Linked DNA regions of Arabidopsis thaliana. The protein of the gene in region 1 interacts with the protein of each later gene in a pairwise test. Each region holds a gene or a part of one and is shown in the gene's direction. Other genes may lie near its edges.

Region 1 (3,016 bases):
TACAGATAGTTAGGGTTACCGTGAGGAAGAGAGTTTGATAATAGAAGCTTTTATGTGAAGATCTGAGACGTCAACGATGGCGTGAGTGTGTTTTACACGCAGATGACGATGATGATGATCAACATAAACAAAAAGAGTTTCAGAGGTAGAAGAAACACACACGATCACGATTTGAGAACACTGTGAAATTACTAATTAAATTAATATTGAATTCAACCAATGATAAATAGCCACGTCTTTGTTCTCTTTTGTTTTTCTCGTTTTACCCTTATCTTGTTGCCTCAATTACAGGAGACAATAGGTCTCGTTAATCTTAATGTACTATACTGTGAAATTACTAATTAATATTCGACTCTTGTGAATGCAGCCAATGAAGAATAGCCACGTCCTTGTTATCCTTTGTTGAATTTTTGTTTTCTTCTGGTTTTACAGGAGACAAGACAATAGGCTCTTAATGTATACAGTGAACCTGAATCTCACGCGCTTTTTTGGTAGAGAAGGTGAAGCAAATGCGCCAAGTCGGATGTTTAAGTATATGGGCTTACTGTTTAAGCATTAGGCCCAACATTTCTAGATAATTGGAACACTTTTTTTTTTTTTTTGTAAACCAGATAATATGTATTTGCAATCATCACTATGGAATGAGTTCAAAACCATTGGTTTTTTGAAGTTATGGACTACGTAGCTAACATTTTAAAACCTACAGATTTTTATTTTATTTTAAATGTTATATGTTATATTGTATCATTACAAGAGAAAGCGATTCTTACAATGTAGTTTAGTCTTCTAACAACTGTTATTATTACTGTTGTGAAAAATATGTATTCAAACTAACATACTGCATGTTATCAACAAATGTATAAGTTGTAAATGTCTATTATATATTCTCTATGTTCCTAAAAGAATGATGTTTTGGGTTTTTCACCCAAATTAAGAAAATTAACTTTTATGTTATTTATATTATTTTTTTGTTAATTTAATAATATAATTTCTACTTCTTTCCTCTCTCTATTAGTCATTAATAAAAATAATAATAATATTAACCTAAGAAATCAATTTTTATGGAACAAAAAAAAATCTAAAACATCAAATTTCATGGAACAGGAGAAATATATTTTTGGTGATAGTACACTAATTTTCTATTTTATAGTGGTTGTAGATGTATGATGTCGTGAAATATCCCATAATAGTTCTTCAATCATAATATAAGTAACGCAATATTAAGCGGCAGCGTTTTCCCAAATTATTAACTTGTTAGTTAATAATCTAAAGAATAAATCCTTGTCACAAACTCACAATATCACAAGAAAGTGAGAAACACTATAGTGATTGGCTTCAGACGTCACCTATTTCAAGCCCTACTAACTCAATAATGTAATCAATATATACCACATACATACATCAGAGATCAGACCAACACATTTTTATTACAAATTTGACGGACCAGAGATTTATAAATAATTAAATTGAATTTGTGTAAACCACGGCATTAGAATTATTAATTACTATTCTATTTACACGTTAACATATATTTATCCATTTATCAATTTATAGTTGTATAGACGGCAATTTGTTTATTAATTTTAAAGTTAAAACTAGTTAATAACATGGATAAACCGGAAATTTCGAAATTAATTTGGTTTAAGTTTCATATAAAAAATATTTAAATCGAACCTAGCGAAACTGTGATAAAAAAACGAAAAAAAAAAATTGAACATTCGAAAAAAATAGTAAATTTTCTCTTTTGGGGTGGTCTATGCATACATAAGCCATGAGTATGTTTAAGTTTCAAGTAAGGAGAAAATATTGACCGAAATCAAAAGTGAGGAGAAATAAAAATCAAGAAGCAGATACATTGAACCTGGACATGCAAAAGCTACACAAAGCGCCTATTAAAGAAACATAATCAAACCCTAACACTCAACAAATCAAGAAACAAAGTTAGAACCACAATCAAATCCTTTTACACAAAGAATCTTAATGGCGAACCGAGGAGGATGCGTGACGGTGGCGGCGGAAGAGATGGATGAGCTAAGGAGGAGGAACATAGAGCTCTCGAGAGAAGTGGCGGAGATGAAGACAGAAATGATTAAGTTGTGGCAGCGAACGGTTGTGGCGGAGGAGGCGGAAGAGCAACTCTGCTCGCAGCTGGCGGAGCTGGAGGTCGAGTCTTTAGAACAGGCACGTGACTATCACGATCGCATGCTCTTCCTCATGGATCAAATCTCTCGTCTCTCTTCTTCTTCTGTCGTCTCTTCCTCGTAGAATAAGATATTTCTCATAAGTTATGTATAGTTGTGTATGTGACAATCACTATACATGTATATAGATCGATGGTAATATGTTATGTTTTCAACATAAATTAAATGTTTGAATCCATTTCTAGTGAATAAATTAGAATTTCTGATAATCATACAAATTGTTGAACTCCATTTCTAATGAATTAGTATTTCTGGTACTAGTTGCATATTTTGTCTTGACTTTTAATTACAAAAGTTCTTATGGAAGCAAATAATATTTTGGAATGATACCATGTTTAAGTAATGAAGTAATAATATATGAGTGAGATCTAATGTCAATCTTAACTATCAAAATAATTTTATGGAACTAGTAGGTATTGGAGACTCGAAGGGGATCGAAGAACTTTGAAGTTTAAATTCCATGAAATCCTACATTACCATAATTTTCAAAGGAATCGTAGAAGAGTTAATTGAAACTTGAGTGTAGAAAAAAATAAAGGGTTTTTGGGTACATGAGTTTCATGGAAATTTTCCACAACTTCAGGATTTTTTTTTTGTGGTCAATGGAAACCGTAGGAGAGAATGGTTCAATGATTTTTCTATGGAACCATAACAATAGTCTTTAGGGGACGTGAAACATGAAATTGTGTAAGTTTTCCATTGGTTCAAGGGTCATTTTCTGTTTCTATTTCATTTAATTATATATTTATTTTGTTAATATAAAAAAAAATCATTTAAAATAGTATGAAGATATGTGGTGCTGGCAAATTAAGAGG
Region 2 (3,442 bases), on another chromosome or scaffold:
TTATACATAACTTAATACATTATTCTTCAAATTCGATCTTGTTCGATTAACAAGGCATAGAGACATCGAAACATCCACAAATTTCTAATTGAGGTTTCTGACATCTACATACTAGTTAGTGGTAATCAAACTCTTTTCTATATTACTCACAAATTAAATGAAATGAAAAAATCAATTTTTTACTTTTTTCAATGCATAATTCGATTTGTACCAATGGATAATTTGTTGTTCGATAAATAAGAGTTGTTTTTTTCAGAAAAAAAAAGATAAATAAGTGCGGTTTATGAGATATCATCCTACCTAAAATATGCAAACATTTTTTTTGTTCTTGAAATACGCAATTGTAAAGATCTCTAATCAAGGTTTTAGAGTGAAATAAAAATGTTGAAATTTTTCTATTCTCAATTTTGTTTAATTTGTAGCATTCATGATAAATAAAATCATTTTTATTTTCTATTTTCTTCCATTTATGTTAAAAAAATAGAGTAGATTTTCTTCTACTTTCCATAAGAGTAAAAAAATTATACTCTATTTTGCTATTTTCTCTTGATACTGTATATTCTATTTCTACTTGTTTACTCTCACTCTTTTCTACTATTTTCTCTAAATAATACTAATCAAACTCTATATTTAAGCTATATAATTATACACTAAATAAATATATTTTCTTGAAGGAGTATATTTTTTTAATCCATATATTTATACACTATATATGTTTCCCAGAATATATTTTCTTAAGCCATATATTTATATATTATATATAAATTATCCAATACATACACTATACATATTTTAGATGCAATAACATGAAGCCACTATATATAAAAATACCACGAAAATACATATCTTTTCTCAAAATTAAATTAAAGTTGTCGCTTCATGATATTGCAGCTTCAAATGTGACATTTTTGTCTTATTAAAGCATAAAAAAAAATTAATAGCGACGCATTACCTTTTTCTTCCTTCTCATAGTTCTATATATTTTTATATTAAAATTTATTTAGTTTGTTTCACCAACAAATTGTATGCAATTAGTTCATATAATAATTCAAAAAATAAACTGTAGTTCGTTTTGGTGAATCCGACATTCCAACATCATACAAAGAAAGCTACTATTTAAAAACACATACTATTAAAATTTGATATTCTTTTATAATTATTATGGAACAAATATTTCATTTCAATCATTCAAGTCACAAGGTTCAAAAAAACCAAGAATACAAGGATCATAAAGTTTAAGACAAAACATACAAAAATATTTTACAATGCTAAAAAGGGATAAATAAAATATATCCACAAAATATGTATAAGAGCTTGAAAACAAAAGCTAAAAAGCAATTTGGCGCAAGTAATAACATTATTTGTCCTGAATTCATCATCCAACTATGCATTGGATAGAACAATGGTCATAATCAATAGACCACAAACGATATTCTCGCTGACACAAGAAAAACTAGATCAAGAAATTCATCGGCAAGGAAAAAGATATGTTATAACTAACTTCAACATTACAAGAAGTTAACTAAAATGAGACATGTGTTAATTCAATCATGATTAACAAGGTAAAAGCATTGTACGTGGTTATGATACATAATTAGTTTCTTTTGTTTTTACAGACAAGAAGCTGGAAAATTCACGTTGACATTGGTCAGGACCCAAAATAAAAGGGGTAATATCGTCATTTACTACCATAAAGAAACACCAACCGATAAAACGTCCATTCTAAGACGGCGGGACAATGTTCATACTTCATGGGTACATTACATACATACACCAAAAACTTCAAAGCCCCCACAAATCTCTAAACATATCACAAACTTCAAATTTCTAAAGACACAACCCGGATCCGGTTCCAAATCAAAACACAACCCGAAATATGCCGATCGGGTGGGTCAAATCCTTACATTGCAAATCAAAAGCATTCGACGATGTCTATCATCATCACTCCAACAAAGGTAAACTCTTATTGCCAAGTTACAGCTGCAGAAAAAACGTTAGAGACGTTGTCAATACACAACCCGGAACCGTTAAGAAAAACCCAAAACCGGACCCGAGTTTAAGACGTTTATGCTCTTCTCGTCGACCCGAATTAGACTCCAATTCTCATCACCCGACCCGACGAAGTGTATCAGCTCGAGCTTCCTCGGAATCTGTATTGCCCGTATTGACCGATCTTCCTGATGGTCATCCGTCAAGAAACGTCGTGGAGATTATATTCCAATCTAGTTGGAGCTCCGATGAGTTTCCGGGTCGGGTTGAAATGATTTTTAAAGTTGAAAACGGGTCAAAAGCTGTGACCCGGTTTGAGGAATATAGAGAAGCTGTGAAATCGCGATCGTGTTCGAAAGTTGATTCTGATAGAGTTGACGGCAGCGCGTGTGATGAAAACGCGCGGTGCTCCGCTGATGGGAATGAGATGATGAGGTTTTTTCCGTTGGGTCCGATTCCGGGAGGGATAAACGGCGGCGCGTGGGGTTTTCCCGGAGGGAAAGGAGCGGCGGTTTGTACGTTTTCCGGTAGCGGAGAAGCGCACGCGAGCACTGGCGGCGGAGGAGGGAGGAGAGCGATGTTGATTTGTAGAGTGATTGCGGGTCGGGTTGCGAAGAAAGGTGAATTCGGGTCGGATTCGGTAGCGGGTCGAGCTGGTGAGTTGATTGTCTTTGATGCTCGCGCGGTGTTGCCTTGTTTCTTAATCTTTTTCAGATTGTAAAAAATAATAATTATTATAAAATTTATACTAATTTTGATTTATATATTTTGGTTCCATTTTTTGGTTTGTTGTATCTGCTTCGTATTTTTCAGATTTATATTTAACTTTTCGTTCAAAATATATTTTTGGTTGTTTTTAGGGTCCAATCTATATACTTATGTTTAAGGTTTAGACAATTTGGCAGGATTCGATATTGAATAAAATCATTGATAGGTAGCAAATTAGATAAGAGATAATTAGTGATACCGTTTTTACAACCATTAATTTTATTTATGTATGTGATTTGTAACCACTGAAACGATAAAGTTTTTGCTATGGTAAAGAGTTCCCAGTCTAAAAATAAAGTGCACTTATTCAATGCAAGTATATGAATATATTCCATCTGTTTCATTATATATGATGTTTTAGAGTTTTAATTTTGTTTCATTATATAAAATGTTTACAAGTGTATACTTTATTTAAATAAGAAACAAATTTGATTCAACGTCACTAATTACTATTTTTATGGGAAATATTTTCGTGAAAAATTGTTTGATATATATAACAAATGCAGCACATTTTAAAATTAATTCGTTGACTGCAAAAGAGACAACTCACATGCAGATTACATGCAAATATATAAAAATATACATTTATGTGTGTGCATATATTAATGAGATTTTTTTTTTTGGACAACCTATATACGATTGGTTAAGTTAATGAAAATTAATTATTAAAAATAAAAAAAGTTAA
Region 3 (3,767 bases), on another chromosome or scaffold:
GAAATAGATGACTTGAGTTTTGTTTGATGAGATAAAGTTATTGGCTATGAGATCCAATTTATACTGTAATTAGTTTGGCGAAACGTATTTTTAAAAGTTGCTTTCAAAATCAAATTTGTCGTTTTAATTTTGGAAGAAAATCAAAAATAGTCAAAACGTTTGATGCACATTGAATTTGATGCTGTCATATTTCTCATATGTAAAGAAATAAATCTTTCCTAACAATATGATAGGAAATAATACAAAGATGACAGAAGGGAAGCAGTAACAAATTTTAAGTCTCTTTCGTCTTTATTCATCTTGATATATATCATCTCCTAATTTTTTTTTTGAGATTTTATTTACATTCATAGCAAGAAAAAGAAAAAAATCTTTTCAATTTAGGAATTGTTTTTCTTCCAACTTTTTGGAATCCTCTATATAGTAAAAGATGTGGCAAGCCCATAATTGTTCTCATCATTTTTATTTTTCATTTATTGAATATAATATACTCATTGTCAAACACTATTAATTCCACTATCCTTATCCTTATCCTTATTATTTTTTAAACCAAACATATTTTAATATTAAATACACCATCCAAAAATAATATTTTCGGATTTCTAAATATTTAGCTTATAGAAAGATTTCTTATTTATCAAATAAATTAATTTAATCAAATTTAAATTTACTATTTCCCAAATTACTAAAAACTTAACTTTTAAAATTAAAACATTAAATTATATAGCCCATATTTTTATCCTATAAATTTCATGCAGTATACTATATAGTGTCTATCTATTCAACACAATCATAGTTTTTTCCTATAATTTGATTTAAAAAAAATCATTCTCCTCTATACATAAGAGAGTCTTTAGTGTTTAGGATATAATCCCACAATTTTTCTCAAGTATTTTTTTCTTTAATTCTACTATATATCATTATTACCAAACATTTTTAATTGCAAATACTATTTATCTTATTTTCTTAAAACTAATTTTTAAACACTCATAAAAGATTTTTAATATATAAATTTACCATTTTAATAAAAGTAAATAGTATAAAATTTACGGCAATAATTAGATAAAATTTGTTACCATTTAAATTTGAAGATATGTTTGACCCTATATGAATCTCACATATGTTCTCAAACATTTGGATTTTAGAATAAACTAGAAATGGTTTCATACGTTAAACAACTTTGTATTGGTTCTAGTTTCACTTATTTCCGTTGTCTCATCATATGCAATTGCAAGATTCAATACAAAGGTTACAGAAAGTGAAATCAACGTCATATGAACAAACAAAGATGTCAATGCATCATTTTGCTTTGAGTTCTTGAAATCATCCTCTCAAATTGCAACACTAGATGTCTGGTCTAGCCAAATTGAAATCATCATTTTGTTTTATATGGATTTTTGTTTAAAAACGAAATTAAAAATCGTAAAATTAAACCAAATAATTTATATTTTGCTTTCGATTTATGAATGAAATCAAACAACAGAAAATAGCAAGAAACAATTTTTTATTTTGATTTTCGATTTGACAAAAATTAAAACAATAAAAACTGAAGTCGTGTAAGATCTGACTCCTCCACCAAGATCTGACTCTAAGCACATTGTTTAAAAGCATCAAACCATATAATTTGTATTTAAACCACATATACAACATAATTAATCATATATATAAATCCACACTTTAATACCAAATTATAACTGAAATCATAAATATCATGTATTAATTTTTTTCATTCACTCAATGTCATTTAAACACACAATTATTATAATTTTAATCTTTTATTTTTGAACTACACTTATTTTTACAGGAACAAAAACAAATATAATTCAATTGAAATTAGTATTTTAACACTAACCAAAAAGGAAATAAATTTGACTATGAGATAAGAAGGCGGGCTTAGTTATATAATAGCAAGAAAGAATCTGTATATTTGTTGAATCAAAAATAATCAGTAACGCTTTGAGTGAAGATGATGAATGTTGCAGTGACAGCCACTCCCTCGTCTCTCTTGTACTCTCCTCTGCTTCTTCCTTCTCAAGGTCTCTCCTTTTTCTATCTTACTCTCTCGCTTACTATGAACACTTGGGGGGTTTTAAATGGGTTTAGTTGGTGAATTACAGGGCCAAACCGGCGAATGCAATGGAAAAGAAACGGAAAGGTTTGTTTTTGAAACTTCTCTTTTATCTCCTCCAAGTTTGAATTAGCTGATGAATTCTACAAGGAACTCTTTTTTGGGTTGTAACATGAACAATGAACCATGTAGGGAAAGTGTTTGATGAAATGCTTCAATGAAACTCTTACTTGTTTTGTTTTGAACTTGAATTCAAAAACACACTCTTTGGTGTGTTTTCATTTTGCAGAGACGGTTAGGGACAAAGGTGGCTGTTTCCGGTGTTATCACAGCTGGATTTGAGCTGAAGCCACCTCCATATCCTCTTGTATGTTTTCGTGAACTCGTTATCAATAGAGTTGGAAACGAGTAGATTAAAAAGACCCAGCTTTTAGGTTGAATTTTGGTTGATATATAACCTTATCATTGGATCAGATTTTGTTTATTTGGTTCTAATAGTACGATAGTGATATATATAAGGCTGTGAAGGTTGATGGTTACTCTAATATTCAAGCTATCTGTTTAAAGATGAATGTAGTAATAACAAATAGGATATTTTGTGAATCGTAGTACTTAATAAATCAAAGATATATTGAGATTGCTGCTTTGGAACCATATGCGTGATGTTGCTTACTCTGTGTTGGTCGTTGGGTGTGTTGATATATGGTAGGATGCTCTGGAACCGCATATGAGCCGGGAAACCTTGGATTATCACTGGGGCAAACATCACAAAACTTATGTAGAGAACCTGAACAAGCAAATCTTAGGCACGGATCTAGATGCATTATCCTTGGAAGAAGTTGTGCTTCTTTCATACAACAAAGGCAATATGCTTCCTGCTTTCAACAACGCTGCACAGGTAAATGCCATATTGCTTTCCACCAGTTTTTCTTAAGAAAAATAAAGTTTTCATGTAAAAGGTAGACTGAAAACCCCATAAGTACACTGTATTCGTGTAAGTGGCAATGTCAGTGTTAAAGACCTTCAGGTTATGTAGAAATATTGCCATAGATAGGTAGAGACATTAAAACGTAACAAGAAATCACTTAGTTACTTGCATTGACATGATACATGTAGTTTCTTGTGAACTGTGGATTGGACAAGAAATAACATCCAGGGTAAGTGGGCAAACCACCTGACGATTCATATCTTTAATCAGATTAGGACCATGGTCATAGTGGCAAGTTTTCGTAATGTGAGATGGGTTGATTGAATGTAAATTAAAGATGTATGAGGGGCTTGCAGGCTTGGAACCACGAGTTCTTCTGGGAGTCTATCCAACCTGGAGGTGGAGGAAAGCCAACTGGAGAGCTCCTCAGATTAATAGAAAGAGATTTTGGGTCTTTCGAAGAGTTTTTGGAAAGGTTCAAGTCGGCTGCAGCTTCGAATTTTGGTTCGGGTTGGACATGGCTTGCATGTGAGTGTTTTTATCTTTGTTCCCTTTTCAAATATGCAAAACCCCAAATTACTTACATACTTAAGCTTCTGGATCATTGATGCAGATAAGGCGAATAGACTTGACGTTGCAAATGCCGTTAATCCTCTCCCAAAGGAGGAAGACAAGAAACTTGTTATAGTGAAGACGCCCAATGCAGTAAATCCGCTCGTATGGGATTATTCTGTAAGTGACTTAACTTTCAATATCTAGAAAATCTTTGTT

What was found.
Region 2: the proteins of LSU1 (region 1) and AT4G12450 interact in a two-hybrid assay, tested with the Arabidopsis thaliana proteins (one large-scale study listed by BioGRID).
Region 3: the proteins of LSU1 (region 1) and FSD2 interact in a two-hybrid assay, tested with the Arabidopsis thaliana proteins (one large-scale study listed by BioGRID).

The regions. Positions count from the first base shown.
Region 1 is NC_003074.8:18,374,684-18,377,699, reverse strand, and holds LSU1 (response to low sulfur 1), read left to right. Parts: upstream 1-1,759; 5' UTR 1,760-1,980; coding exon 1,981-2,265; 3' UTR 2,266-2,467; downstream 2,468-3,016.
Region 2 is NC_003075.7:7,385,109-7,388,550, reverse strand, and holds AT4G12450 (zinc finger (C2H2 type) family protein), read left to right. Parts: upstream 1-1,619; 5' UTR 1,620-1,876; coding exon 1,877-2,710; 3' UTR 2,711-2,856; downstream 2,857-3,442.
Region 3 is NC_003076.8:20,773,835-20,777,601, reverse strand, and holds the start of FSD2 (Fe superoxide dismutase 2), read left to right. Parts: upstream 1-1,862; 5' UTR 1,863-1,966; coding exon 1,967-2,036; intron 2,037-2,117; coding exon 2,118-2,155; exon of another isoform or gene 2,156-2,357; coding exon 2,358-2,435; intron 2,436-2,777; coding exon 2,778-2,966; intron 2,967-3,352; coding exon 3,353-3,524; intron 3,525-3,609; coding exon 3,610-3,728; coding exon of another isoform or gene 3,729-3,755; exon of another isoform or gene 3,756-3,767. UniProt on the Arabidopsis thaliana protein: Destroys superoxide anion radicals which are normally produced within the cells and which are toxic to biological systems. Plays important role in chloroplast development, particularly in the maintenance of thylakoids membranes.